4 linked regions of the Arabidopsis thaliana genome follow. The protein of the gene in region 3 interacts with the protein of the main gene of each other region in a pairwise test. Each region holds a gene or a part of one and is shown on either strand. Other genes may lie near its edges. The genes, in order: AT2G28315, AT5G52050, TH7 and AT1G74370.

Region 1 (8,430 bases), on a different chromosome or scaffold from region 3:
CAGGAAGCATAGAAAAAAAATTGTTAATCAATTCGTATTATACTAATGTAAAATTAAAATTGCTCATATTAAAAGGTATTTTTGTCCCTCAAAATTTACAGTAAAAAAGCCAAGTAACAATTTTTCAAAAAAATATAATTCTAAGCCCAATCATGGAGTTGCTGCATGTACATCAGAACATGGAGTCATGGACCATCTATGGGCTCAGTCCCAAACTTAGCCCATATGTTTCCTTTACAGTAATCTTATTCTTCTTATTCAACACATATTTCTTAATGATTCTATTTCCTTTGTTGTCACAAATGAAAGTAGTTAAGTTTGACTGATTACGAGATTTAGAAACAAGAAAAACCAGTTTTAATTTTCAAATCTTGTTGGCTCCAAAAGAATGTAATAAATGAGTTGTGTAATAAAAAAAAGACAGGAACAAATGTATGTAATGTCCTAATAATAGAGCTTATCTTTTGATTAATTAATCAAAAAAGTTTGGGCCTTTTAAGAATTTAAAAAACCTCCAAAAATTCGACGCAAATAGGCCTCTCCACCAAATCTCTCTCTCTTTCTCTCTGTCACACTCTTTATCACTCTCTGCTCTCACAGATCGGAGAATCTCCTCTGAGAGCTCTAATCTCTCAGCTTTCTTCACCGGCGTCTCCGGATCTAATAATCCTGTAAGGCCTGTAAGTAATCTCATTTTTATTTTCAAGATTTATTTGCGATTTCATCTCTTTTATGCTGAATTTGATTTTCGATGTAGCCTTGTTTTAGCTATCAGTATTACAATTAGTTATCACTGTGATATATATCTTCTCTGAAGTATTATGTTTGCGTTTTGAAGCTACTGCAGAAAAAAGATTGAATTTTTACAATTTGGGGTGACTCAATTTTGTTGACTAGAGTGTTTGGAGATATTTCTAACTAAATGGGAACAATGCACCGCAGGTATAATTTCCTTAACTGATAGATTGTAATACAAAAAAAAGAGTTTTTTTTCCAATATGAAGATTACTACTTAGTGGTTAGTTTTGCAGTGGTGCTCCTCGAAGAACGAATGAAAATGCAAAGGTTATTATTACTACTATTTTGGGGATAGTGTTTGGGACTTTTATTGGTATCACATTACCTTCACTTTCGTTTAAGGTATGAGTTTTGTTTTTCATAGGTCCTTTTATGTGTCCCTTTCATTTTTGCACCTGTTGAATTTTGTTTCGTATTCCTGCAGATTAACTTACCCTCGCGCCTTATATCATCTCTTGATGTAGCCATATCTGGTGACAAATCCCCTGAAGATTTCGGTTCAAGAAAGTTTCCTGAGGTATATAATAAACTTCTTGTTCGGTTCCCTTTCGTTAGCTTTTCGATTATGTTCTAGAATAGTGCCTCATTTCAGATGAAATGTATCGTTTCTGTATGTTTGATTGCAGATATATGTTCCAACTAACCCGCGTGGTGCAGAACTACTACCTCCAGGAATCGTTGTGGCGAAAACTGATTTTTACTTGCGTAGATTATGGGGAGAACCTAATGAAGTATTGACTTCTCATTCTATATTTACTTTCTCAATATATATGGTTTTATCTCTGAAGGCCATTAGAATAGTTAATGTCAAAACAATAACCTTTGCAGGATTTGAAGAAGAAGCCAAAATATCTTGTGACATTTACAGTTGGATTTGAGCAGAGGAACCATATTAATGGAGTTGTTAAGAAGGTTCTGCAATATCAGCATGTGTTTTAGCAAGTATTGTTTTATATATTCTTTGTGGATACACTCAGATTTTTTGTTTTCTTGTCATATCTTCAGTTTTCTGAAGATTTCCAAATTTTGCTCTTCCATTATGATGGCCGGACAACTGAATGGGACCAATTTGAGTGGTCGAAGAGCGCGATTCATATTAGTACAAGAAAGCAAACAAAATGGTTAGTCATCTGGTCATTTACCGGTTATTAAGTATGTTTGTCGAGTATGTTTTTATCGAAATTCTCTACTGGTTTTGGCAGGTGGTACGCGAAGAGGTTTTTGCATCCTGATGTTGTGTCAGCTTATGAGTACATATTTATATGGGATGAAGATCTTGGAGTGGAGCATTTCAATGCGGATAAGTAAGTTATTACTTGTCTGAAGTAGCAGAACAATCTTATATTTTACATTTTGTGATGGAATTCTATTAAAACTTCAGGTACATTGAGTTAGTTAAGAAGCATGGTTTAGAGATTTCTCAACCAGGCTTAGAGCCTAACAATGGACTCACATGGGAAATGACAAAGAGGAGAGGTGACCGGGAAGTCCATAAGTAAGATCTCCTTCTCTAACCATTCTTCTTTGCCTTTCTTTCAAATTTGGTTCTGAATTAAGAAATGTGTTGTTACTTACTGTTGAACAGAGATACAAAAGAGAAACCAGGATGGTGTAAAGACCCACATTTACCTCCATGTGCCGCGTAAGTCTCTCTTTGAAACGTTCTCTTTAGAGCAACTCAAGAGTGTTTAGTCATTGTCAGTACTGAGTTTTCTGAAAAAAATTCCCTCTCACAGGTTTGTTGAAATAATGGCGCCTGTATTTTCTCGAGAAGCATGGCGATGTGTGTGGCATATGATTCAGGTTCGTCGATCTGTAGATACATAGTCCTAGTCTTAGTCCATCAAAATAATGCTTGTTGTTTTGATCAGTTTGTTTATGTTTCTGATGCAGAATGATCTGGTTCATGGATGGGGTCTCGACTTTGCGCTTAGAAGATGCGTTGAAGTAAGTTGTTTTTGCCCCCCCCTTGCTTACCTTAATAACACAATATTCTCTTGACTGATGATGAAAATTTGTGTGTTTTGCTTTTGCAGCCTGCTCATGAGAAGATTGGTGTTGTGGATTCGCAATGGATAATACATAAAGTGATACCTTCACTTGGAAGTCAAGGAAAGTCAGAGAATGGGAAAGCTCCATGGCAAGGAGTGAGAGATAGATGCAAAATGGAATGGACAATGTTTCAGAACCGATTGGCTGATGCTGATAAAGAGTATCTTGGGAAGATGGTGAAAGATTAGATTTGTTTTTCTTTTTTCTTTCTATATAATTAATATATTAAAAAAACTTTTACTTTTGTATATCAAATATTTTACACTAAATTAGGTTTTCATAGGACATGTGTGAAGCCCTTTTTATTGATATTGTGTAAGATTTATACATTTTGATTGAGCTTTATTATGTTGTTTGTTACTTTCTCCATTTCAAATTCTTAGATGTTTTTAAAAAGAAATTGCTTTCACTAAACAAGAGAGAAGTGAAACATGTAAAAAAAAAAAACTTTAGAAAACAAAGGTGTAATAGAAGTGGTTGTTATTACATAATCTTTTTGACTTCTGAAAAGACAATAAGAAAACAAGACTTATAACCAGTTTCATGATTTATCTATTTCACCCAATTTCATAAATTGGCTATTTTATATTTGCTCTCAATAGGTAACGTAAATGGTAGAGAAATTAAGGAGAAGAGAAGGGTATTGGTATGGACTTTGGAGTGAGTGTGAAGCTTTACACCAAATCCAAATAATTTCAATTTTCATTTTAGTTTCTATTTTACAATATTTTGCCCAATAGAAAAAGTATGAGAAATTCAGTTTCACCTTCCTTTTTGCTTTTAGTTCAAGTCAATTGTTTGTCCATAGAAAACCATACAATGTCTCCCTCCATTGGCTGTTTCATTTCAGAGTCTTTTTTATGGTTAAGAATTTGCTATCATATCATTAGTAGAAGTCTCTTATGAGGAAAAACAAATATTAAGCAACATCATTATAGTTTTTCTCATGTATCTTGTGCGTAATTATGTAAATGTCATAATTATTAAAACATGAAATTAGGAAGAACAGAAGTTTGGTGTTAGACACCAACCATTTTTATACAAACAAATAATAAAAATCTCATTATATCACCTTTGCATTTCATCACTCATCACATTCACAATCCTTCTCTTTTTCTCACATCAATATATATCTCTCTTTCTCTCTCTTCATTTGATAGATTTGAAGATTTGAGAGGAGAGAGAGGAAGAAAAAATGGGAGAGATGAAGAGTATGCAAATGGGTGTGATTGGAGCATTGTTTCTATCAGTTGCATCTTCTGTCTCCATTGTCATTTGCAACAAAGCTTTGATGACCAATCTTGGTTTCCCTTTTGGTAATTACTAGTACTTTTTTTTTTTGCTTTGTGAGAATATATTTTGTAAGATCTTTATCAAAAACCCGATTATTCGTCTTAGGATTGATCGCTTTTTTGCTATGGTTTTGTTACAGCAACAACACTTACTAGTTGGCATTTGATGGTAACATATTGCACACTTCATGTGGCATATAAACTAAACTTCTTTGAGAATAAACCAATAGACATGAGAACTGTTGTTCTCTTTGGCCTCCTCAATGGCATTTCCATTGGTCTCCTCAATCTCAGCCTCGGCTTTAATTCCATCGGCTTCTATCAAGTATATATCTTCGACATACTTTTGATCATGTAACAATTATATGATTCACCAATTTGATGTTTGTCCATAACTAATGGCAGATGACCAAACTTGCTATCATACCATTCACTGTTCTTTTAGAAACCCTCTTCCTCAACAAGAAGTTCAGGTGAACCAAACTTGATACATAAGATTATTTTAATTTTTATTGTTTACATAAATAACTTTTTTTTGAATGACATATTTTGGTTTTGCAGCCAGAAGATAAAATTCTCATTGTTTTTGCTGCTAGTTGGGGTTGGTATAGCATCAATCACAGATCTTCAGCTCAATTTTGTTGGCTCTGTTCTATCTCTCCTTGCCATTGCCACAACTTGCGTCGGCCAAATTGTATGCTTTAAGTTTCATTAAACTAATGTTTAATAACTAATACATAGTATAATTAATATGACTATGAAAATGTTGTGGTGAAGCTAACAAACACTATCCAGAAGAGACTGAACGTGACATCAACACAACTCCTATACCAATCAGCCCCGTTCCAAGCTGCTATACTCTTCGTCTCGGGTCCTTTTGTCGACAAATACCTCACTAGCCTCAATGTTTTCTCCTTCCATTACTCTCCCATCGTCGTGGTAATTTTTTACATCGTTAATTCCATTTATTCCCAATTGGTGTTAAAATAGAATTAGAATCATTGTCCTGGATCGGTCCAGCCCATTTTCGCATGGCCCCTTAGAGCCGTGCCCATGTTGAGCCATGATTGTATCATAACGTCCCTAGATAGATACTAAAATTTTGTGAAATTTGACAATGATGAATCATGCAGGGGTTCATAACGTTGTCGTGTTTGATAGCGGTTTCGGTTAACTTCAGTACGTTTTTAGTGATTGGAAAGACATCTCCGGTGACATACCAAGTCTTGGGACATCTCAAAACGTGTTTGGTGCTCGCATTTGGTTACACTCTCCTTCACGATCCCTTCACTCCTCGTAATATCGCAGGAATACTCATCGCTGTCCTCGGGATGCTTCTCTACTCCTACTTCTGCTCAGTTGCTTCTAAATCCAAACAAGCCTCCTCCGATTCCACTTTTCTTGTACGTTAACCACACAAAAAGAAAAGATAGAAATAATGAGTGTTGAAAGTTTCTAAGTACTTTGGTTTTATTCCTTTTTTGACAGGGGAAAGATAGAGATACGACGCCGCTTTTGGGACAAGAAAATGAGAACCATCATGAAGCCAAGAAATTAGACAAGCATTCTCCAGTATGAAATAGTACAATAACTCTTTCTTTATGTTTCGACTCTATAATTGTGTCCCTTTTTTTTGTTCATTCATTGATAATGTTTTTGTAATTGAGAAAAAATTGAAATAGCCAATGGGCATTTTCTCTTCTTTTTTATATTTACATTTCCTATTTCATTTCCTCCTTTTTGGATCTTACAAGGATTATAAAATTATTTTCTCTCGTACGTGTTCTTTGGTTTATGTTAGTGTTCTTCAAATGATCAAATGATTGTTTTCTATTAAGAAGATAAAATAAAATAGTATAGTACTAAATAGTGTTTAAAATACAATTAGTTTCAAAACGGTTTTGGACTTTTCGGTGATTAAAATGTGATAAATTATGAAGTTTTTGAGTTTATGGAAGAAAAATGATGGGCGATTTGACATATGCATATAATTATTATCGGTTTTTAGGATAACAGGAACCAGAAATTTCTAATAATTGAAATGCTTTATGCTCTTATTTTTCCTTTCCATATAAAAAATTTAAATGCAATTTATAACATATATACATATAGATATGTATATTGTTAAATATTACATGTGCGTTACGTCTAACGTTTACGAGAATTCATCCTCTGTTCACATGCTACGTTGTCGTTGTTGTTTTATCTTTCCATGAATAGTATATGTATAACATTTTTATGTTATGGTCTTATGGACCTACAAAGAGAATTGGCAATGAAACTTTCCCTTAAAAGCGAATAATTTTTTTAATTAAAAACTAGTGGTTGTGAGACTTGCAAGTTACGAATGACAAAAAAAAAAAAATAATAATAATAAATGAGAAATGGTCTTCAATCTTCATCAATAGGCCAACTTGTTTGCAACAACCAACAATCCAACTAAAAATCATTTTAAACAAATTATATGATGATGACTTATTCCTACAAATTACTACAGTTTTGGCCTTTTGTCCAACGATGTTGTGATACGTTTCTACATATTTCTCAATCGATCAACGCTAATGCTTATTTTTCAAGATTACTATTTTGTCTCCATGTGTTTTCAGAGACTATGCCTTGTCTTTGTTGGTTGGTTTCACTTTCTTTAGCCATTTTTTTTTTTAAGTCTCCACTCATATTGAATTAGTTAATTTAGGAGTTGGCAAAATAAAGTAAAACTATGGCTTGCATTTTAGTATAAGTAGTTTCTGTATGTGAATGTGATTAAGCTCCCAAGAGTTTTGTCTTACCTCTTGTTGTGATATGTTTATTTTGATTTTCTACCCAATAACATATCTTGTAAAGCGTTTATAACAAAGTAGTGTTTGATGGGTACAAACCACCCAGATGAGCTATATGACTTTTCATTTGTTTGTTTTTGAGCCACTGAGTGACATATAATCTAAAATTGTGCCACTTTCCCATTAAAACCATATGTTTTCAAGCATAATATCTTAATATCAGTATTTTAAAATTAAAAGCAAGATACTATTTTATCCACTTTGGAGAAGATAGATATTTGGAAAATTTGATAAGAATACTAATAAGAGTCTGATGCAATTTGCACATTAACCATTGATAAATAAGACACAACAAGCTCACTTCCGAGAAAAGAGTACAAAAATTAATATTACTCTAGTATAGTTACTTTAATACTTCAATGTTGTATATGATCAATGTACCACGCTAAATCTATTAAATATGTGATTTATACAAAAATTTACATGTGAACTATTTTTTAAAAAACTTTATCTACCCAGAGATTAGTTTTGAACTCCTCCACAGGTGGTGAGGATTTATCTTCAATTAACAGGAAAAAAAAAGTTTATCATCATTCACTCTAATAAATTTATTTCTCCAGTTTTCCATCTTCATTTTTTGAAAGTAATATATATTAAAACTTGTAAATTTTAATTTTATAAAATATTTATATTTTACAGTTTATAATTGTTATTAAGTAACGCTATACCACGAATCCATGAGACAATTGTTAAAATTTTTAAGTTTTAACCCCTATTAAAACAGCATATTAAACATATTTCAAAATTTTATAAATATTGATTCAAATACATCTACCATATAACCCAATTCCAAAATAAAACCCGTTCTGTAATTTCTTTACCCGTCCCGTGGTTTTTTTAAAAATAGTAATTTTTAAAATTTAAGAATTATTTTTTATATATAAAAGTTTTGCAAATTGTATCATTCTCTAATACATTTATATTTTATAGTTTAATTTTATATATAATAACATTATACATACCACATAACATTTTTGGTTTTATATAACCTTTTCTAAATTAGGATGATTTGATATGTTTAATATTAGTGGTCTTAAAATATAATAAATTAAAGATTTAATCCGTATTGAAATTGTGGATTAATTATATTTTACTTTTTTATTAATGTTGATTCAAAAACCCGTCCCTCCAAATCCGTCTTGCCAAAAAGCCATTTATTTTATTAATATTAATTTTATTAATGACATGACTCTGAATTATAATCTAAACATTTTATCTAATAACAAATGAGTGCACCATATTTATTTAATAGGAGACTGTACCATATGACCCGAATGCACTTTTATCCAAATCCACCAAAAAAGTCTTGCAAAAATACTATAGAGATAAGAAACGATAGTCGGTTTTGATAGGTATAAGATTAGCAACTATATAAGTTAGCTTAAATTAGTTAAAGAATACAAATTGAAAAGATATATTACACTTTATTCGAATATAGTATCAAAACT
Region 2 (8,496 bases), on a different chromosome or scaffold from region 3:
ATTCTTTATGTATAACAAAATAGTAGGAATCTATTATTGTGATTATCTTCGGAAAAAGGAAGCAAAAGAGTATATCACTTGTCATAGACTCATAGATCACAAAGTTTACAACTAATAATATTTCATTAAATATTGTCTTTGCTGGAAAGATAGATTGAGTAAGAAAATGATAAGATGGAAAAAGGGAAACGAGAAGTTGGTTACGAATTTATCTCTTAGAATCCAATGAATTTAGTTGATATTCATTGACACATCATCTCGTACGTGTTACTATTGAAATTCTTTCTTGTTTTACATTTAGATATTGAAATGTTATCAAACTATAATATTCGTTTTTACTAAAATCTTTGTCGTTTTACTAAAAGTCAAATGTTGATGATTCGTTTTCAACCAAATGAAGAAATGTTATAAGTGAAAGGAATCGATATTATCCTTCATCTTTCAACTTTAAATAATCCTACACACTGTTTAAATATTGAATTTGGACATAGTAAAATCTATAATTTAACCTAGAGCACAAAGTAACCAATACGTTTTACTACTAGATTTATCATCATGATCAGAGCAACACGTGTTATAAGGAGTAAGGTTCTTCATTACAAAACATCCAGAATGAGATGAGATCTACCGAAAGGCGTTTTAAATATTTGACTCAATCCACTTTAAGAAAAACATCATAAAAACAGCAGAAATAGACAAATAAATGTATTAATTCATGCTTGTATTAATATTCTTTTGTCAACATATGGACAGCCGTATAGTCCCGTAGTAACTACAAGAGAAAACAATTATATAGGACAAAATGGTACGGCAGAAAATTTTGCACGACGAGTTGCAATCGTCGACAAGATAAACATGACCACCTCCCTTTTCAATTCCAAAAGTATGATATGAGTATCTAAAGGTTAAAATACGTATATATATTTTTTATTATACTTTAGTTTCTATCGATTAGAATATAGATGTCAGTAAACGGTATTATTGTTTGTTGTGATATATATGAGTTTTTTTTCCGACTACACATTAGTTTAAAAGATCACTGATAATCCAAAGTAAAATCCAACTTGTAAAATAACGTGTCAATTTTTTTTTGAAGTGTTCACATATAATTGGATTAAAAGTGTATACGTCTCTAAATGATAATTTATTCGACTAAAAATGATGGGCCATGTAAGAATTTAGCAAAACTAGTAAACCTGAAAGGTATCATTACAATTTACAAATGAACCAATATAAACACGAGAGACCGATGTAAAGTCTTTGTCATCAAACTTATATTTGTAACAAAAGAAAAAAAATCTGTTCAGGTAAGGACAAAGTAGATTTGCAAAACATCACAACTAGAAAAGAGAATTCAAATAGGAAAATGAGAATGTGTATGGGCATACGTTAAGTCCCTTTTCTTCAATGTGTTATGCAAGGTACAAATTCAATTCAATGAACTGAAATATTAATACAATGAATTAGACTCAATATATTCTGTAACTTTCTCACTCTTTCACGCACTAGTTAAGGAATTAATGGCTTACTTAAAAAATAAACAATCACATAATGGTAATTTAATGTACCTTGCTTCATGAGGAGTTAACCATTCTGATTGTTTACGCACGGTGCTGATGATCAATTTCGCAATGTATAGATACTTGTATACAAAAATCAAAGATATTACCAGAATTTTTTTCTTAAATTATGTTTATATCATTTACCTTTGTTTTTTTTTAAAACAAAATTTCAATAGAGGTTTTGTCGATTAATATCAAAAAGAAATAATTTAAACTTGAATGTATTATACAGTAGAAACATCATTAAATAGCATTCAAAATGAATAAAATTTGTAACAGTTAGTTCTTGTGTTAGTTTATGTATAGAAATTTTAGCGAAGTATAGTTGTTGACCCAAAAAAAATGTAGGAACATATATAGTTTTCTTTGGTCCCAAAACGAGTTTATTTTTTGTTCTTCAGTGTTGAACACTATTTTGCTCGAACATGTCTGGTCAACGTCCGACCAGCCAATTCCACTTCATAGTTTGCATATTAACGAACTTCCATCTTTTTGCTGATTACAGCTTTCATTATACCGTTTAGATTTTTCTTTTTTTGCCTAAATAAAAAAATATGACCCTAAACATTCGTAATTAATAGAAAACATTAAATAAGTACGATACAAAAGACTGAATCTCTATAATAATAGATTGAGACCATATTCTTGTGAGATAAATAAAAGATTGAGACCATATTCTTGTGACAATTGGTATACAATTAGGTTACAAATATTCTAATCCAAATTTAATTTCGAGAACATAATCGTGTGAGTAACGATAAACAATTTCATTTTGTTTACAAAGATATATGATATATTGCACTTTTTAAAATCTAATATGCTTACTTTTTTGAGCTGTCATTAATCCCCAAACTCCACTTTGGGATTTTTTTAAAAAGTCTAATTCAACGCGTGGGGCACACCGTGTGTAAACTTCGACTTTGAAAAGTTATAAACAGAAAATGATGTTTTTTAAAAAAACAGGGAAAAAAAGAGAAGTTTCTATTTGAAATAGGTTCAAAACCCACTGGCCAAGTACTTTGTTAGTGGCATGTTTATCATGAGAATATATTTGACCCGTCCCTTGTTTCAGTTTTGCTATTACGTTCCGTGTCAGTTAATTTAAAACTCTAATCATATCTTATTTGATTAAAGAATATAGTGATGATGAAAAGTTATATTTTGTGTACTTGAATGTTTGAGTTGGGCCTCGTCTATCATATGGCAATATCTCCTTTAAGTGTGTGAACGTAAATTACCAATTTCAAGGTCCTCCTCTTAACGTAAATTATCCCAGCTCTCAGGGTTTTTCAGCAAGGGAATAATATAACAATCTAATTAGTCAAAAATTGGATCAAGTGCTAGTAAATTATGCTTGGTTTACTAATCTTTCCTCATTCTTTTTTCCCCATTTTGATTTATGAGGATCACGTTTAATGTAAGGTTTAAATTTCTCAAACCAGAGCTGGTTGTCATCGTTTAAATGAATCTATATGCATGTATTCTATTCCATTAGAAATTATACACACGTAGTTAACTGTAATTAGCTATAGTTAAATCCGTACACACCGTTTTTTCCAGTTTGAATCAGTATAGTGATACATGATATAAGTATATAACATGCGTATAATCAACATACATGATTTAGACAAAATATATTATTATTCTAATTTTTGTCATATAGATTTTGATTCACATTATAAACTGTATATATTGACAAGAAAAAAAAAACATTTGACAAAAGAAGAAAATAATAAACATTTTTTGAAATCATGATTTTGAGGTGATAGTCTATTTATACTAATACTAATGATACTATGTGTCAATGCATCACTAATACATCTTCAGATTGAGTAGAAACCGTGTATATGGATTTAACTCTAGTTAAACAACAAGAACATACAAATTTGAATGTAATAAGCGTGTAACCATTTGACTTGAAAATAAAATACATATGACCAAATTGAAAATAATAATATTAAAATCCAGTGCAACGAAAAAAATAATATGTTAAAACAATAAAACCCACTCACTACTTTCTCTATATAAAGCCAAATGCTTCAACCAATCTTCTTCACACCTACAAATCTTCTTCTTCTCTCTCTCTCCCTCTTCCTCTGTCACACAGATATTGACAAAAACAAAAAGAATGAGTCAATCAAATCGTGTCAGAGACGAAGTTACATTACCTTTACTCCAAAAAACCTCTCATCTGAAAAATCACTCCTCTGTTCTCTCTGTTTTCCTAAATGAAGCAATCTCAATCTGCAAAATCTCTTACCCATTGGTCCTCACTGGTCTCTTCCTCTACGTTCGCTCCTTCGTCTCTCTGTCTTTCCTCGGTGGTCTCGGTGACGCCACTCTCGCCGGTGGCTCCCTCGCCGCCGCATTTGCAAACATCACCGGATACTCTCTTTTCTCCGGTTTAACCATGGGCGTTGAGTCTATCTGTTCACAAGCCTTTGGAGCCAGACGCTATAACTACGTCTGCGCGAGTGTCAAGAGAGGAATCATCCTCCTTCTCGTCACTTCTCTCCCTGTTACACTTCTTTGGATGAATATGGAGAAGATTCTTCTAATCTTGAAACAGGACAAGAAGCTCGCGTCCGAAGCGCACATCTTTTTGCTTTACTCTGTTCCAGATCTTGTCGCTCAATCTTTCTTACACCCATTAAGAGTTTATCTTCGGACTCAGTCAAAGACTCTTCCTTTATCAATCTGTACAGTGATCGCGAGTTTTCTTCACTTGCCAATCACGTTCTTCCTTGTAAGTTACCTCGGTTTGGGGATTAAAGGAATCGCTTTGAGTGGTGTTGTGTCTAATTTCAACCTTGTCGCTTTCCTCTTTCTCTACATCTGTTTCTTCGAAGACAAGCTAAGTGTTAATGAGGACGAGAAGATAACAGAGGAGACATGTGAAGATAGTGTGAGAGAATGGAAGAAACTACTCTGTCTTGCGATACCAAGTTGTATATCGGTTTGTCTTGAGTGGTGGTGCTATGAGATTATGATTTTGCTTTGTGGGTTTCTCTTAGACCCTAAAGCAAGTGTTGCTTCAATGGGAATTCTCATCCAAATCACTTCTCTTGTGTACATTTTCCCTCATTCCTTGAGTTTAGGAGTCTCCACCCGGGTCGGAAACGAGCTTGGTTCTAACCAGCCAAAAAGAGCGAGAAGAGCAGCCATTGTTGGACTTGGTCTCAGCATCGCCCTAGGGTTTACGGCTTTCGCGTTTACTGTCTCGGTTAGAAACACATGGGCGATGTTTTTCACTGATGACAAAGAAATCATGAAGTTGACTGCCATGGCTCTGCCAATCGTTGGTCTATGTGAGCTCGGGAACTGCCCGCAAACTACGGGATGCGGTGTTCTCAGAGGCTCCGCGAGGCCGAAGATCGGAGCTAATATTAATGGAGTGGCGTTTTACGCGGTTGGCATTCCGGTTGGAGCAGTTTTGGCGTTTTGGTTTGGGTTTGGATTTAAGGGACTTTGGCTTGGGATGCTTGCGGCGCAGATCACGTGTGTGATTGGTATGATGGCGGCGACGTGTAGGACCGATTGGGAACTTGAGGCGGAAAGGGCTAAGGTGCTCACAACGGCGGTGGATTGTGGCAGTAGTGACGACGACGCCAAGGAGGATATGGAGGCTGGGATGGTTGATAAGTAGGGAGGAATGAGTCATGAGGAGGTCTTTAACAAAAACAAATTGACTTTGTTTTGAATTAGTTGATAACTTTTTTCTTTTATTGAGAAGAGATTCGTTGGAGGATTAATGTAAATTTTGTAGTGTAATGATAACACAATCTAGAGATTCGTCGTTGTATTCAAGGTTTTTAAATTCATAAGGTCAAATTTTGCTCAAATCGCTTAAACCTTTCTTTATTCGACAGAATTCAGTTACATTGTATGTTTTGTTTAGTGTAACGATTTTTTTGGACGCAGAATAAATCTTGAGAAAATAAATAAACTAACCATTGACCTTACTGAAGAAAATCAATAACCATGGGATTGTGGGTGTCTTTGTTAATTCAATCAATATAACAAACTAAAGTAGCACATGCGGACGAAATGTAAAAATAATGGGGGATTTTTTTTTTTAATATGCATAAATAATTATATAACTATATTTAAATAACTGCAAATAAGGTGTGTACAAGGAATTAAATTCACATATGTATTATAACCATAGTCGACAATTTCAAATATACATGTTTGATTAATTAGCTTCTAGTGATGCTTCGAGGCAAAGTATATCCCTCTATGTGATAGATCATTTACACATCAATTTCTTCCGTGGTAAAATAAAATAGATAAAACCTTTGCGATTATTAAAAAAGCCATAACTATGGGATCATGGTTAGTTTGTGTTTTCTTTTACTTTGGAAACTCCTGATTTAAATAGAAAAACATTTAACATAAAAGAAAAAGCCTTTATTTACACACAGAAGTTTAGCCAATCACTTACTTCTTTCCAAATGCTGCTCACAAAAATAAGTTTTTTCATATTTTCATTAGGATAACGTCAAAAATATCATTTATTTATTTAATAAATCTTTTATCGCTAATTTTATTTTCTATTTTTTATCTTTTTAATATCGTTTATCGTTACATATAATAACTTTAGGCAAATATATATTTAACATTAATTATTTTTTTGCACATGTTTAAGCTATTCGCCAAACTAACATGTCTTCACTAATATTGGCATATATAATTGTCAAACTGTTATAATTCTAGAAGTTGTTAGTTCGAATGACATTTGAGAAGAGACTATATAAAATGTTCTGGAGATGGTATATTGTTCCAAAGGATATACGGATATAAAGCCATAACTTTTTTTAGACATTAAAAACAAGAATAAAAAATTTGTCAAACCATTGGTCCGCTGGTTTCACTCCATCACCAAATGACAAATGATTCAAGTGATATCATGTGTCCAAACTTTAGGTTAACACAGAACAATGAGAAATCTTTAACCGAATTCTAAACTCATGATACATGAACTTGTCTCCAATTCCACATTATGCATCATAAAATGGTTTGTTAATCGTTATCCTACAAAACAACCTAAAAGCTATAAACACTTGAAAAATTTTAAAAAAGTAAAGACTTTTTTGACTCATAAAAGGACTAATACCAAATTTCATAGTTCCAATTTTGAACAAAAAAACACAAAAAACACATGAGAAATAATAACTTAAAAAATCTAAGAACATATGTTGCCTCATAAAAAGACCGATACAAACGTTAGAAACCGCCAAACCGGTAACATATTGTACATCAGCTACCAGATCGTTGATTAAGAATTAAGATACCGGTATAGTCGATGTAGCCTGCCTATACAGACTCATAATCGACCTGAACCCCTTATTATGTGCAATCTAAAACAAGTGTTTTAAATCAAAAGACTAACTACAACAATTTTTTTAATCTAATAATACATTTGTTGTTTGCTATTATAATATAAGTATTTGATTAATAAAATACGAAATAGAGATTCGTATCCACTAAAACTAGTAATATAAGTTGTGGGAATATCCTCCCTTTTAAGTATTTCAAAGGGCACTACAAATTTTGTCTTTACAAAACAACCAAAGTGGATAAATAACTCCATGAGGCACTTCAAAAGTTTCCATACATTAGTTTATTTGTACTTGTTTCTTACGAAATCCCTGTCTTCATGGGAGATTCACTTATGTGATATAGTTTCATTTCTAATTAAGATATTCATTATTGTTTGCAGTACCCTATAAACTAATCAAATGATGATTAAAATTCATTAAAAAAAAAAAAAAGAGTGATTAAACAAGAATGAAACGTGGGTTATGATCCTTAGAAATGAACTACATTATGGATTAGTGTATTAATTTATCTATTTCTTAGATATAAACTAACCAAGGAATTACACAGCACCTTTTTTCTTAACGTGGCAGCTTACAAGAACTGAGAAAGATTTGGTTAGGAGACACATGCCAAGAATCACTCATGTTGGAGTTTTAATAATTTAACACGTACAACTCCAAAATTTTAATGAGCGATAGGGGGTACTTAATTACTTCCTAGGATTGAAGAGCCAATTACTTGTTATTTATTCTGTCAAATTGCTAATTCTTATTGAGGTTTCCACGTGTATACAGAATATTTGACATTAATGCACTGTAGCTAAAACATTATGGAGTTAATAATATTAATAGTAATTTTCGAAAAAGGTTTCAAACCCAGTTATTTGATATATTGTGAAGAAAGGTCTCACATCAGAGATGAAAATGGATTTGAGTAATACATAAAAGACATGAGTTAATTTATTTATTGCCAAATTGATTTAGAATTGGAACCCCATAACAAATTAACATGATATCAAAACATGAATACATGTTGATCCGTTAATACGGTCCAAACAATAGCTCGATCACTCCATGTATGAATGGTTCAACGAAAGCTCTATTCCGTCGAAATAAGTAAAAATGCATTTACATGTTTGATGCTCCACCTAAAAGGATATTTGTAGTAAGAATTAGGTTATATATCGAATTGTTCAAGTTAAGTCGGATTTTTTCTAATATTTTGAGAAACTGGAACGTCAGTTAATCGTGCATTTGTAGTAAGAACACATACTTTTAGGATTTTAGCTTCTCTTTTCATTTTGTCTTGGATTTAATATACTTCGCCTCGTTAACTGAATAAGAGTATATATAATTTTAGAGTACATATATTATAACTTCTAATGTATGTAATGAGGCAGCAATAATTGAAGTTGATGAGATAAAAACTGCAGATAATATTAAGTATCATATATATGTAGTAAACTAAAGTATCAATGTAGTCACATGCATTTGTACCTTATATCAGCCAAATTCAGGAGATTCTGTCTCCTCGACGGAGATTATGAAACACATCTAATATAGTAATTATTAACAAAGCGAGGTAACCATTTGACTAATTAAGAATCATTATA
Region 3 (7,505 bases):
CCGGACAAAAAATTCTGAGACCTTTCAAACAGCGTATTCTCTGCACGAACCTGCTTTCATATCATAGCTGCTTACTTTACTTGGCTTTGAGTCATCAATTTTTAGTGTTGGACTAAAATTGTCTAAATCAATGTTGTTGTTTTTTTGCTCAAAACACATATTTGGGTAATAAATTTGAATATTTGATGAGTTGGGGTTAAGAAGCACACTAAAATTTGCTAAAGATAGAAAAGATACTGTGCACAAAATTGAAGTTAAAATATACGCTTTTTTCTTAAGAAGCTTGAAAGATTTATTAAAATTTTAGAGAGCTTAATTTGTGTATTTAAAAAGTTTTATTTTAAAAACTCTATGAATTCAATTGATACCTATCATTTTTTTGAATTTGTATATGTATAAATTATACAAAGTGTATACTAATAACACTAGATTTTAAAAGAACTACAAAATCAATACTAATTAATATTTTGAAAATAACAATAACTTTTGAATAATAACTAAATCGTACAATCTATTGAACAATAATCCTTCTTAAATTATTCTTCAATAGAAAATCAAAAAGTAAATAAACATTCGTCAAGGTGGATTTATGATCAACGCAAGTGGAAAATTTTAACAGCAAGAACGAGAGGTGGACATATTATAGTGGACGCTATATTTTTGGGATTTCGAGTTGAAAAATAATGAACCATGCATGTGCACAAACTACAAAGTAAACAAAGATAATTAAATTATCAAGATTCAATAGTTCAACTGGTAACAATTTATGGCAAAATCTTGAAGTTACTCATTCGAGTAGTTTTTAGGACGAGACCATATAACATGTTTTGGTTCTGAGTCTGAGGAAATGCATGGACGTATGCCAAAACCTCCTAATTATTAGAAAAATAAACAGAATTTTAGATATAATGTAATACATATTCTACCCCCTAATTTCGTACCAAGATGATATGAACTATTTTATTGTGATTGGACCCTTCATGAAACCTTTTTCATGCTTGGAATACCACTTGATTTATAAAAAAAATATTAACAAAAAAAAAAAGAGAAATTAATTGAGCTAGCAGTCAAAAGATTTATCAAATTTTTGAATTGCCATCAAGGCATCAAGTCAATAGACTGAAAAACTAATTGTTTAATAAAAAAGAGAATGTTAAGCGATACCAAATTAATACGAAACATCCAAAGTTATCAAAAATAAATATACGTATGCATCGAAAAATTCCATGAATATGTCATGTACGTATTCTTACGTAAGCATACACGTATACAGTGACTATAGAGATACGTGAATACTTATGCATGGGTAAATATAGTATATATAAATTACGTGCGCAATAAATCGATATATACCTCATATTTTCTGAAGTTATATATATATTTTACCTCATAAGTTTTGTTTTTTTCTACCTCATAAGTTGTAGTTGTGGACCTAAGGTTTTATTCTTTTTATACGTTTTAGAATCCATGAGAAAGCGAATGTTCAATCTACACCACACCAGTTGTTTTGTTTAAACCCAAACTTGATAGTGAAATGTTGGATACGTCATAAGCCAACATAAGCCATAAGAAAGGAATTTAACCTTTGGAAAAACATAGAAAAGGAGAATGTAACCAAAAAGTGGCATTTGTGATTGTGAGATTGGGTTGAACATTGTTGAAGTTATTTAATGGGGCTTTAGTAAAGTATGGGCTAGGGCCAAACTTGGACAATATAATCCAAATACGAGAGAGCTAAGTGGTGTGAAAGATTGAACAGACGAAATATGTTGTACCTTAAAATCCACAATGTTCTTCTTCATTATTTTAGATTAGGGTTAAATTTATCTCTCGCTGTGCAGTTATTAATTCTTTTGTTACTATGATGAGATACGTGAGTTAGCAACTTGATCCTACGTCCTGTTTGTTTTCAGTGTTTTTCGATGTGTTAGCGAAGTATGCTCTAGTGTATTTAGCCTAATTAGGTTTTCAACATAAGGTGGGCTAATTATTAGGATGCGTCTAATTTTGGCCAGCGATAAATGACAGTGACCAGCAGCAAAACTTAGTTCATGCTATTGTCGTTGTTTTAAATCTACCACATTTAATATTGCTACTTCTATAATCTTTATCCCCTGGCCTCAAAATAATGTCATCCAATCCAATTTCATTCATCCACACTTGATCTTTTGCATATCAGTCTACATATAGAGTCAAACATAAATTATTGATAGTTCCTTGAAAACAATCTTGAAACTCTTCATAATTTGTTTTTCAAACAAACATTTTGTGTATACTCCACAAATGGATTTTAATCTGTACCTCATTTTTTTCTATGTTCGTCGGCGTACCTAGTTCATCATATGCACCTACTTCCTTGCTTAGACTTCTCGTGGCGGCCACATCTTGTTTTTATCATAAGATGGTCATTTAGCTAAGAAGGTTTGTGATTCAAATCACCGTATATTTCAAGGAAAAAGCACTTGCACTTGTATTTAAGAATCGTTTCTTCTGCTCTTGTATCTTTTTCACACTTTCTGTTTGCAAAAATATAACTAACTTTATTGAACTATTATACAGAACTATTTTATAAGTAACTGTAATATATTGCTTAGTAGCAGAAAAGTAAATACAGAGGTATTGAACTAATTGTGTTACTCTTCCTACATAAATTAAAAAGAGAGAAAATCAACAATATAAAATTGTATGGATACGATTTCATGGAATAAAATTCTTTAGATTGTGGAAAAACTTATATTAGAATCTTTATAGATCGAGCTAGGAATAAAGAAATATGTGGGTAGCAGAACTCATGCAACCTTTAAGAAAGTCATGTGTAATATTATCGATAAATTATGATTAAAAAATGAATAAATTCAAAGGCAAAATCTAAATTAAAAACGATTTTCTACACATGTTTAAATATCTAAACGTGATTAGTTTACTTTATGAATTACCAGTACAATAAATATTTGAGAATTCTTTTAAGTCTTAAACTACACAATTCCAAAATTCCAAATACAGTAAAAGTAAGGGAAAGAAAGTCTTAGGAAGGGTACTTACAAATTTAAGAAGTATTCCTTAATGTTTTCAGTTTTCTAAAAAACTTGTTGTATTTCTTTGATAACGCCTTCATATATATATATATATAATATATATATATGCATATTTTGATCCCAACATATATATATTTAATGTTTTATAAAGCATACTTTGATGCAACATTTCTACAAGTTTTTTTTAGTTCTTATAAAACAGTGGTGTTTCAATTTTATTAGAAATCAGACCAAAAAATGGTTTCAAATTAATATTTGCAAATCGAGATCTTAAACCCCAACAATATGTTCTAAAATTTAAGATATTCGAGCATCACCGAACTGTATTTTTGAATCAGCATTCCTAGTTCCTTGAGAATGAGAATTATAAGAGGATGATGTGAAAGTTTATGGGCAAAAAGTTAAAGATGATGTTCGTGGCTACGACGTGCATTTCTTGTCCCCCAGTATCGAATAAATTGTTAATTTCAAACTCATTTTCGACAATGATTCCTATAAGTACTGAAATGGAATAAGAAGGACCTTGAGGAAGAATTTGATGACAGCTTCTTTTTAACACAAATCAATATTCTTACACACGGACACACCAAACAACATTACAAATTTACAATGACATGCATGGTCATTTTGCAAATTTTTTTCTCGTTTTATTCTAATCTAATTTCGTTCTGTAAAGTTTTATGTAAATGTAAATTAAAGATTTCAGTAAAGACATAAGAGTATCACCATCAATTAGGAAAAAAATAAAAATGAGTTCTCATTAGAAACTCTCCTGCCATGTGACATTTTTATTTTTATAGTAATTAATAGCATTAATATTATATAGGTATTAGATCCTTGAAGTGGATGGTGCATATATTATTTAAACAAAACAAATTTTAACTACTTTTAATTTATAGCGTTGACAATAACTAATTAATCTAAACTAATAAATCAAGTACCTAGGCTACCATTTTTTAATTAGAAAATCGATCCGCCGCGGATTGTTATCCACCCACAAAAATAAAAAATTCGTTTGCAAATGTGATAGGCAAGCTAGTTCCTTGCAACCAGCTATATTTTTATGTAGTGGAGAATATTTAACAACTAACTGGAATTTTAAAAACACAAAGCGAAACTAAATTGGTATAAGCTATATATTCTTGAAAAAATAAAAAAATCAACGGCTAGAACTAAAGAAGGATAGCAAATTGAATCATATTCCTTTGCATTTACTTATTTATTTATAACCAACAAATTAAGTTCTCCGATTAAAAGCTATATAATGCTCCTCCTTGTCTCTCTTCTTTGCATATCAGTATATCACTAGCAAATAAGTGAACACCATTTCTTCATACATACACATTCCGAAGATAATGGGTTCCAATGTTTCATCTGTGCATGATGTTCATTCATCAATGGAAATTACCAGTAATGGATTTGTTGTGGAAATCGAATCAAGAAGACAATGGAAATCTCTCTTTGATTCCATGAAAGGCTCAAACAAATTGGTATACATTACTCGAAAACTACCTAAAACGTATTAAATTTTTTTAACCAAACTTATAATGTTTGTTTTAAATCTTATACTATTTGTGTTTTCTAATTTTGTTTACAAGTAAATGACATGTTTTTTCTCTTAAACTAACTGAAAAAATTATTGTGGTTTTGAAGCTAGTAATTGATTTCACAGCTGTATGGTGTGGACCTTGTAAAGCAATGGAACCTAGAGTTAGGGAGATTGCTTCAAAGTACTCAGAAGCTGTGTTTGCTAGGGTTGATGTGGATAGGCTAATGGTAATTACTCTTTTTTTTTATTACTTGAAGAAGAATCATCTTATGGTTTCAAGACTAAGCTATAATTGGTATGTATTCCAGGATGTGGCTGGGACATATAGAGCTATTACACTTCCAGCTTTTGTTTTTGTGAAGAGAGGAGAAGAGATTGATAGGGTTGTTGGAGCCAAACCTGATGAGCTCGTGAAGAAGATTGAACAACATAGGGTTTAAGTTTTTTCTTTTCCCTTACAAAAAAATGATTATTATACTTTTGAATGTCTGTTCTGAATTGATTGTTTGAAGTTGGGTTTCTGGTTTGTTGTTTAATTTCTCAAAACAATATAAATAATAATGTCAAAAATGAAAACAATTAACAAAAATGTTGTAGTTATATTTGTATGAAATCTAATCACCCCAACGTAAGCAAAACAACATAACAATGGTAATGTGAGTATGGCGACTAAAAGAACTATACCATAAAAAAAAAAAAAAAAGAGTCCCATTCCAAGTATATGTTAAAATACTAAATGGAAAAAAACAAACGTTACATAACATTTTCGAAGAGCTTGTATGAAGTTGAGAGTTACATATATAACTTATGAAAGCAGAATAAATTAGATAACAACAAAGATAGCTTTTACAACAAAAAACAATCAATTCTGCTTACTATTTCGTGATCAAGATATGAGATCAAAAACGAAAACCGATCAATTCTGTATATGTATGTACACTGAATTGACCTTTTGAATTCAAGAGCTTTCTTGAAACTAGTTGCCAATTCAGCTACCACCAAGAACTCTCTTGAGATCTGTCTTCTGTTCCGATGTTAGCCTCGAGGGGAAACATATCTCAAAGTTGATTCTTAGATCTCCTCTCTTTGAACCTTCTTTAGAGATGGGCATTCCTTCACTAGGAATCACTATCTCCTGACCCGGTTTAACGATATCCAAAACCGGGATAGTCAGATTCCTCCCGTCTAGTGTTGTTAAGCTAAGAGTGATCCCTGTTAAAGCCTCCAAAAGCGAAACTTTCTTGTCTACAATAAGATCGTTACCGTCTCTTTTGTAAACCGAATGCGGTTTCTCATCTATAACAAAGATGAGATCTGCGGGAGTAACACCGGGTTCTTGGTTTCCTTTCTCTGGAAAAGTTATCTTAGTTCCTTTCTTCCATCCTGGTGTTATATCTATCTTCAAGATCTCTTCCACTGGCTTTGACTTTCTGATATCAAAACATGAATATATATTGATCACAACCAAAAAAGCAACTAGGCTTAGAAAAATCAAACGTAGCAACAAGAAAATAATTAGGTACATCAATCATCAAACAATATCAACATCACTAGAGATAAAAACGCAATTAAACAAAGGAAAATTGTCAAAAAAACAAAAAAAAAAACCAATAATAACAACAACATTAAACAGAGAAAAATAAAGAAAACTTATCAAAGAAAAATGTCAAAAACACAACAATTTGGATAATTGTTTCGTCTTGATTACAAAATTTTACCATCAAGATAAATCACAAAAACAGAGCATATATACAGAGGATTATCCATTGACTCATACAAGAAACCACAAAATAATTGGTCAACACTTTTCCAAATATAATTTACGTAATCACGAACTACTAATATAACGAACGAAACTGAATGAAAAAAGGCGATTTCATTTAGATCATGTGTTATGAAATACTAACCCAAGACCATCAGGAACAACGCGGGAAATCTTCATCTTCCTCCTCCCACCTTTATACAACTCCTCAAGAGTACAAGCCAATTTACTCTCAATCGCCGGAGCTTTCCTGTTCACCGGAGTTTTCCTATTCGTCTGACTTCCCGCCTCCGCACTTTTAAACCTCCCGCCACCGCCGACGCCACCATCAAAGACTTTCTCAGATGCACCGAAAAACTCAGCGAAAATATCTTCAGCATCACGTGGATAATACCTAAACCCTGCATTGTAATTATTGTTGTTACCAGAAGAGTAATTATGTTGTTGAGACGACGCCGTTGCTTCTGTCGCCGTAAGTCCGTCTTCACCATATTGATCATAGATCTGACGTTTGTTAGGATCGCTTAAAACATCGTAAGCTTCGGAGATTTGTTTGAACTTAGCTTCAGCTTCTTGCTTGATTGAAGTAGGGTTTTTGTCAGGGTGCCATTTCATTGCAAGTCTTCGATACGATTTCTTTAGATCGTCTTCCGTTGCGCTTGGATTCACGTTGAGTACATTGTAGTAATCAACCCCCATTGACAAGAACAGTTCGAAATCGCTACGAAGCTTCAGAGGACGTCGTTGAGAAAGACGAAGACAGAGTAATGAGAAGAATCAAAAATGAAGAGAAAGCGTGAGGAAGGAGATAATGAAGAAGAGAGAAGTGGTGGTGTACGTGTATGTAAGAAAGGTAGAAGAAGAACATGACAAGCATAATCTTTGAATACTTTAATTGGAACCTTTATTCTGTTTCAAATATTTGTTGTTATTTTATTTGTAATCTTATGTATTATATATTATAGATACAGATACATTTATAGTTTATAGGCACAATTTTATTTTTAAATGAAAATTGAGTATCTAGAATCTTCTATTTGAATCTTTTTATTTGGCATCTCACCATTATTTCTCGTCTCTCTGTTAATTTTTGTTGTAGATTACTGGGGCTTATAATGATTTATCAAAATGTTAATCCCTTAACGTGATATTATTAGTT
Region 4 (7,761 bases), 6.0 Mb from region 3:
CTTGGGGCTCAACAATCCCCTATGGCTAAAACCATACAGCTTGAGCACTTGATTGTCTGCAAAATTAAAGGCCCTCTCCATACTCTTCAAGCACCTCTCGACTGCATAATCAGCATAGCTACCACACGGTTTACACCCAACGAAATGGGTCACAAATGGCCATCTCTCATCACCCAATCCCGGGTGATACTTCTCTATCATCTCCTCATACCTATCAACCAAACCTTCCCAAAACCCGTGCAAATAGTATTGATTCTCCACAAACACTTTCTCCATCCATGTATCTTTCTGAGAAAGCAGGAGATAGATCAATGCTGACTGATCATCTGCCTCAAAAGCTGGTCTACCTTTCAGATAAGCCGTCAATACCTTCCCGGCCTCATCACGAATTGGCCCTTTAGGTCCCATAGGCGCCCAAGCATCTAACAAATCCAACGACCACTGACAATTCCTCAGCAGAAAACTACCTGTGTTCAAAGCAATCCACGACTTCTGATCGAACAACAAGTCCGGATAACCATGAATCACTAGATTATGCTTCTGATACCTAGCCAAAGGGATCTGAAACAGTATATCAGTGAACAAAGCATCACTATCCATCCACCAGATCCACTCAACTTCTGGATGAGACAACATCAACCTCCTAATCATTGGTAATTTTGCCCAATAGCCAGCGAGTTCCTTATCCAAATGAGCCATGTTATACACAATCTCAATTCCATGAAGCCTACAATAATCAATCTTGTTCTTCACAGATTTCAAAAGATAATGATCACCAATGGGGTTATCACAAGGCTTAGGAGGAGATCCTGTTAAAAGCAAGATTCGAGCTTTGCCATTGACAGTACTAGGAAACTCAGGATTCTGATTCAACCATACCTTACGTTGACTATCCCAATCCGTGATCTTAGGACCTAGAACATACGTCGCATTGGGATTCATATCACCTTCCTGAGGCTCATCCAAGTCGGTTGGATCCGAATCAGATCGGATCTCAGCTAGAATCCGGTTAGTCTCCTCAATGATGTTCTGGTTAACTGCATCGGCGCTTGAGCTTCCTAGGTTACCAACACCGATAGTGCCACGTAAGACGAGAATTGTGACGAAACCACAGAGAATTGTGATCTTGATGTTGTTAAACGTCTTCTGCATCTGTCTACCTCGAGGTAACAAACCACCACGACCACCTCTTCCTCCACCGTTGGTTAACGTCGTCGTCGGAAGTCCTCCGCCGCTTCCGGATGGTCTTTTATGCGCCGGCGAACCATCTTGACCCATTTTCTTCTTCAACGTCTCTCTCTATAGATTTCACTTACAGGTTTGCGACCATCAACTTTGTTTTCCTCAGATCAGTCTGAGTATGTTTCTGTCTCTCCGTACTTACTTATTCACGGATCTGAGAAAAAGTTCAGATCTTTAGCATGATTCCGATCGGGGAAAGAGAAAGAGAAAGATTTGTCGATCTGAAGAACCCTAATTTAAAAATGGAATTAAACCCAATAATGCGGAAACATTGTCATTACTTAAAAATATATTGTCGGAGGAAAATGCTTCGTTCGATCCAGAAAGCGCACAAGGAGAAGAAGAAACGCGTACAGCTCACTCTCACCGACAACTACTATTTTACTTTAACCGATTTCGGTAATAGAAAATTACGGAACTAAACCGGTAGTTTAATTTTGGCGGTATAGTGAAACGATGCGTTTTGGTAGTTAAACCTGAAAACAGAAACGGATAAGGTGAGGAAATCGGTGGGGGCGGCGGAAACATTGAAAGGCGTTTCAGAGTCACCATGTTTTACGACGCGTGTCTCTTTTTCAGCCGGTTTTCTTCTCGCTGGTTACATCAGAGCTTCGGAGATATTATATAACTCAACGACGTAGCTGTTGCATTTTTTGTTTTTGCAATGATCTTCATCTTCATGACCGGATAAACTCTTGTAAGTGTATTTCGTTTTCTGTAATTCTGTTAATGATTTCTTGGGTTTCATCAAGTTCGTTACTTTTTGTATGTTCTCGGTCCAATCTTTGGGGGTTGGATTGTAAATCTCATATCTGATTATGTAGTGTATGTGTGTGTGATTTTCTTGTTGCAGAGAGAAAGATTCAAAGTGATTATCTTTGTGGATCCCTCCATTGCTATGTGGAATTTAGCTTCAAAATCGATCAGAGAAGGTTTTATATCGAAGGGAGAAGAAGCTGCTACAAAACCAAGAAGAGCTACTTTAGATAGATCAGGAGATGGAAGAAAGACAACAAAGGAAGAAAAATTGGAGTGTCCCATTTGCTGGGAATCATTCAACGTTGTTGAGAATGTACCTTATGTCTTATGGTGTGGTCATACAATCTGCAAGTACTGTCTCTTAGGGCTTCAACGTGCCATTGTCATCAAATCCTCTGCTTTACCATTCCAGCTTCCCTTCTTCGTTGCTTGCCCTTGGTGCAATATTCTCTCTTTAAGGCTGGTTTGCAATGGAACCATCAGATTTCCTTCCAAGAACTTTTACCTTCTGTGGATGGTAGAAAGCATGAATGGCTCCAGATCGGAGGCACCCAGCGACAACAAAAGGGTTGCTTCAGGGCAGAGAGACTTGAGAAATAGGTGTGATGGAGTGAGTAATACCGCCTTGGGTGATGAAGGGTTGCTGGACAATCGCAGCTGGTGGAATGGTGTGACCAGAGGATTCTTCAGAACTGGGAGGCTCCATGACTCGGTACGTAAGTCAATGGCTCTTGTTGCTCATTTGTTGGCTAAGTTTCCTCTGGTAGTCATATTCCTGTTGATGGCTTTATATGCAATCCCTGTGAGTGCTGCAGTTCTCGGGGTTTATTTCTTTGTTACGTTTGCTTTGGCTGTCCCGTCGTTTCTCGTCCTTTATTTTGCCTTCCCGAGCTTAAACTGGCTGATCAGAGAGATTGCAACCTGACTCATTGTACTGTTTCTTTCTTCCTGTATGTTTCCTGACTTGTAAGAAACACGAGATAGAGCCAACGTTGTTTACACTCAATATAGACAAGAAGAAGAGAAGATCTTTATTTTCAGATTGTGTCTCTGTACATTGCGAACAAAACTACCTTTCTCTATCCCTATCTGTCTGATAACAATGAGGTTCTGTGTACAAGAAGAATCAGAAACAATGAAACGAAAAATGGTGAAGAAGAAAACTCTGTTGTTCTGTATAATAAATCTGAAAGAAGAAAAGAAAGAAAGATTTTTACATTTCTATGTAACCTTGTGAAGATAAGCCATTGAAGAGCTCTGCTTTACCGGATATCTTAACCAACATAGCTAGAACTTCTTTCATGTTTGGTCTTGCCTGAGGATGATCAGCTGTACACTTCACACCAATCTTTAGTAGCTCAGTCATTTGCTCAGCTCCGTTCCCTGGTTTGGTCCCTGACAGGGTTATTGGTGAACCTTTGGCTGTCATGTTACCTGTCATTACACGTCTTGCCCATTCGACCAAACACTCTTCTCCTCCATCAACAGCTCTTCTACCCGTCGCGAGTTCCATGGTCAATACTCCGTAGCTGTAAACATCTCCTCTTGTGGTGGCTTGCCAAGTTTGTCCATACTCGGGAGCTACATACCCGATTGTGCCTGCAATCACTGTGCTCACATGGCTATCTCCTACATTTAAGAGTCTTGCTAGTCCAAAATCCGTCACTCTCGCATTCCCGTGTTTATCCAAAAGAACGTTACTGGCTTTGACGTCTCTGTGAACGATGGAAGGGTAGCATTCGTGGTGTAAAAACACTAATCCCCTTGCTACATCTGTGGCTATATCAATACGTTTCTTCCATTGAAGTTTTGTTTTGTCTGTGATGAGCTCCTCTAAGCTCCCGCCTCCCATGTATTCGTGCACCAAGATTTTCTCTGACCCATCTAGGCACCATCCATATAGCCTCACGAGGTTCGGATGTGCCCAATCTCCAAATGCGTTGGCACTTAGAACTTCCATTTCAGCTCTGAACTCTTTCTCTGCTTCTGTGCCTTCCCTCTGAAGCTTCTTGACTGCAACTTCTCTTCCATCAGGCAATACGCCTCTGTAAACAGTTCCATAGCCTCCCCTACCTACCACTCTCTCCTCAGAGAAGTTACTGGTTGCTTTCAGAATGTCAGCGTATGTGAAAGTTGATTTGTCTAAGCGAATGACCTTGATTTTTCCTGATAGCCATGGCGATGATCCACCTGAACTGGAAGTCATGTCATGTCTGGTTTTCGACCCATCTAAGAGATCGATTTCTGCTTCCCTTGAAGCCTTAACAACCATAAGTACAATACCTGATACCACTAAACATGCAATAAACGCCAATGCAAGAGCCAAGGAAATCCAAATCAAAAGAAGAGTTCTTGGCCTGTTTCCTAGGACTTGGTTGGAAATCTTCCTCGTGTTGTTCCCTGATTGGTTGAAGAAACTAGGAAACCGCAGCAGCGGATTTCCAAGAAAGGAGTCTTTGTCAAAGGTTGCTACTTGTCCTGTTGTTGGTATCGCGCCAGAAATGAAAGGGTTATATGAGATGTTGAACTTACTCAGCTCATTCAAGTCATTCAAACTCGTTGGAAAGTTTCCAGAGAAATTGTTGAAAGACAGATCAAGATTCTGCAGGCACTTCAGATTTCCGATTTCTTGAGGAATCTCGCCCGAGAAATTGTTTCGAGTAAGGTTGAGGAATGCAAGAGGCAATTGTCCTATCTCTGGAGGCAGTTTCCCCTCAAACTCATTGAAACCCAAATGTAGTGTGCTCAGCCTGTCCATCTGAGAGATGCTTGCAGGAATCTCACCTGAAAACTTATTTCCACTGAGCTGAAGATAGGCTGAAATTTTAAGCGTGCGTACCGTGGAACCAGCAGAACAGACAGGAAAGAGACCGTACCCTTTGAGAACATGGTCCCATAGGCTTCTGCAACTCTTTTTGGTTAGAATTGCGTATACAAAGTTGAACGGAGGGAACTCCGCTGGAATCCATCTCTTCATCGCCAAGCATTCACCAGAACCAGCAATTATCTTGTCTTTGTTTTGCCTATTCACTTCAAATGTTGGAGAAGGATTACTCCCCATTCTAGTCAATTCAGGATGGAATCTACCAGAGAGCTGGTTGTTTGCCACGTTAAACCACAAAAGGCTTGTGCAGTTGCCAATCTCTCGAGGGATTTCTCCTGATAGAGAGTTGTTTGCAAGCATTAGCCACAAAAGAGAGGTCAATTTCCCAAATGAAGCTGGTATCGAACCGGTCAGCTTGTTAAAGGAGAGATCAAGTGCTTGAAGCCCCGGCATGTTCCCATACTCCTGTGGTATATCGCCACTGAAGTTATTATAAGCAAGAATCAAGAACTTCAAACTCTGTATCTGAGAAATTTCAGTAGGTAACTGTCCCGAGAAATTGTTGTAGCCCAAATCTAGCCTTGAAAGATTGGGTAACTTGAGGATGTTGGAAGAATTGATGCCTCCTACGTATGAGTTTGCATGCAAGACTAGATACTTTACTTGCGTGAATCTCCCAAAGATTTCTTGAATGTCTCCTCCAAATTTGTTTCTGCTCAAATCCAGAAACACCAAGTTGGTCAAGTTCAGGAGAGTTTCCGGTATGTCTCGAGAAAATGTATTATTCCCCAAGTACAAACCTTTGAGAGAGGATATGGAACCAATCTCAGCTGGAATGTTCCCTGTGAACTTGTTTCCCCAAAGATTCAGTACATTTAGATTCTGGCAATTCGAAACTTGGCCTGGAAATTCCCCACCAAAAGCGTTCCCAGACAAATCCAACATTTGCAAAGTACAGTTCCCCCTGAACATTGAAGCAGAGATATTCCCGGAGAGATGATTATCAGCAACTGAAAACTCGACCAGCCTCCCAAAACCAGTCCACACTTCTCCACTGAATCTATTGGAACTGAAGTCAACATACTTGAGATTCCTACACCCGTTGAAGATGTCATCGATTCTTCCAGTAAAGTTGTTGGTCGACAGATTTGCAACAACCAAACTGTTGCAGAACAATGGGAAGCTAGACTGAATATCACCCGTAATCCTATTCAACGAAAGATCAAGAACCTCAAGATTTGACAACCCGGGTAAACTTAGCTCTCCTTCAAGGATATTATGAGAAAGATTCAGATGCTTTAAGTTGTGACAACGGCTCAAGTCATCTGGAATCTCCCCTTCGATCGTATTCCTTGATAAATCGAGATATGTGAGCTCCGTTAAAGCGGAGAAGTTCTTGAATAGAGGACCTGAAATGGTGGAATCAGTTAGATTGATCCCTGTAACTCTACTTCTCTGAGGTGTACATATGATTCCAGGCCATTGACACACAACATCTTGGTTCTCCATTTTCCATTCCGTGTATAGTCCTCGGTTCTGTGGGTTCCGTGATTCAAGGTACGATTTTAGGCTTAACAAGACTTCTCTATCACTGTCCAGAGAATCTCCAGCCACTGCTATAGCTGCCATAGAAGAAAAACATCAAAAAACTCAGCTAAAATACTCATCAACGACATCAAACAGAGTAAAAATTAAAACTTTGCGATTCATTTACGTACAATGTAAAACCTTGAATTGATGAAAGCAATGAAACCCCCAAAAAATCACGTCAAATTTTAAAACCCTGAACCCATTTGAAGGAAACGTGAAAGAAACAGAAACCCAAAACTCATACTCAAGAAGAGAAGACATTACAATTCCCAAAAACTCTCAACGAAACTCAAATTCAAACAACAGAAGAAGAGAAGAAATTACCAGTGATGAAAAAGAAGAGTAAGAAACAAAGAAAGCAAAGTGACTGAGAATCATCATCCGTCATGATCACACGCGTCACCATAGTCATCGTCCTCCTCCACTTGGTCTTCTTGGTTTGCTTCTTTACTGTCCTCTGCGATGTTCCTCGAGAAGATGTGGAAATTATCGGGGAAGAAGATGAATTTCATGGAAATTCATGTGTGGAAAGAGATTTGAGAAAAAGAGAAGTTGGAAAAAAACACAAAGCAGCCCGCACGTAGACCAAGCAACTGAAAAACTTTGAACATCACACAGATTTATTCCTATTTATTAGACTTTTCCTCAAACACAAAAATTAATTACAAAAAGGTGAAATTGAGTCATCATATTATGCTAATTTTGACCCGTATAAACGTATATATTACGTTACTAGTCTTTATCAAAAATTTCTTAAGGAAAAATACCGCATTTGTTGAATATTTCAAAAATTGAACTTTGAAGTCGTTTAGAACAAAAACAAAATTGATGTTTTATCGACTAGATGAGTCTCATATGACTAAAACTAAACCATAACTCATTTTAGTTCTCCTTAGAAAAAGTAAACAATTACAAATATTGTTTTTGATTCACCATTAGCTTTTCTTTTAATTTGTACGGTACCACTTGCGCACTCAAGAACTTATCCTAGTGGGTAACATTTAATAAATTTTGACAGTTTGAACTTATATATATTGAAGTATGTGTGAGTTTAGAAATTTTAATCGTGTGATTTGGTTAAAAAAACCATAAAATTAGATTACTTTATTTAAGTTAACTCGCGAGGGCAACAATTAGGTGAGCAGTTGTGACATCTAAGTTGACCGGTCCAGAGTAGTTTGACTTCGTGTCAGAGTTGGTAAGTTTATGATAATAGATAAAACTTTTGCATAATGTAAATCTAAAAATTACGTTACATACAATATATGGTGAATGTGACTTATGTAGCATTAAAAGATATATTTGCTTCTCCAGAGATTTAAAAGTGTTATTTAACTAAGTTTTAG

The links.
Region 1: the proteins of TH7 (region 3) and AT2G28315 interact in a protein complementation assay, tested with the Arabidopsis thaliana proteins (one large-scale study listed by BioGRID).
Region 2: the proteins of TH7 (region 3) and AT5G52050 interact in a protein complementation assay, tested with the Arabidopsis thaliana proteins (one large-scale study listed by BioGRID).
Region 4: the proteins of TH7 (region 3) and AT1G74370 interact in a protein complementation assay, tested with the Arabidopsis thaliana proteins (one large-scale study listed by BioGRID).

Annotation. Positions count from the first base shown.
Region 1 is NC_003071.7:12,084,851-12,093,280, forward strand, and holds AT2G28315 (Nucleotide/sugar transporter family protein), read left to right. Parts: upstream 1-3,816; 5' UTR 3,817-4,045; coding exon 4,046-4,166; intron 4,167-4,282; coding exon 4,283-4,467; intron 4,468-4,547; coding exon 4,548-4,615; intron 4,616-4,703; coding exon 4,704-4,836; intron 4,837-4,919; coding exon 4,920-5,081; intron 5,082-5,275; coding exon 5,276-5,545; coding exon of another isoform or gene 5,546-5,554; exon of another isoform or gene 5,555-5,630; coding exon 5,631-5,720; 3' UTR 5,721-5,915; downstream 5,916-8,430. Other genes in the region: AT2G28310 (trimethylguanosine synthase (DUF707)), read left to right, coding at 923-942, 1,032-1,140, 1,223-1,315, 1,425-1,529, 1,627-1,710, 1,804-1,919, 2,001-2,102, 2,180-2,293 and 4 more. UniProt on the Arabidopsis thaliana protein: Nucleotide-sugar transporter that transports UDP-xylose and UMP in a strict counter-exchange mode.
Region 2 is NC_003076.8:21,135,243-21,143,738, forward strand, and holds AT5G52050 (MATE efflux family protein), read left to right. Parts: upstream 1-3,460; 5' UTR 3,461-3,690; coding exon 3,691-5,208; 3' UTR 5,209-5,634; downstream 5,635-8,496.
Region 3 is NC_003070.9:21,950,278-21,957,782, reverse strand, and holds TH7 (thioredoxin H-type 7), read left to right. Parts: upstream 1-4,302; 5' UTR 4,303-4,390; coding exon 4,391-4,525; intron 4,526-4,688; coding exon 4,689-4,811; intron 4,812-4,892; coding exon 4,893-5,024; 3' UTR 5,025-5,186; downstream 5,187-7,505. Other genes in the region: AT1G59725 (DNAJ heat shock family protein), read right to left, coding at 5,573-6,014, 6,492-7,045. UniProt on the Arabidopsis thaliana protein: Probable thiol-disulfide oxidoreductase that may be involved in the redox regulation of a number of cytosolic enzymes.
Region 4 is NC_003070.9:27,953,365-27,961,125, reverse strand, and holds AT1G74370 (RING/U-box superfamily protein), read left to right. Parts: upstream 1-1,725; 5' UTR 1,726-1,939; intron 1,940-2,095; 5' UTR 2,096-2,140; coding exon 2,141-2,926; 3' UTR 2,927-3,040; downstream 3,041-7,761. Other genes in the region: AT1G74385 (uncharacterized protein), read left to right, coding at 156-401; XXT5 (xyloglucan xylosyltransferase 5), read right to left, coding at 1-1,278; AT1G74360 (Leucine-rich repeat protein kinase family protein), read right to left, coding at 3,215-6,447, 6,740-6,827.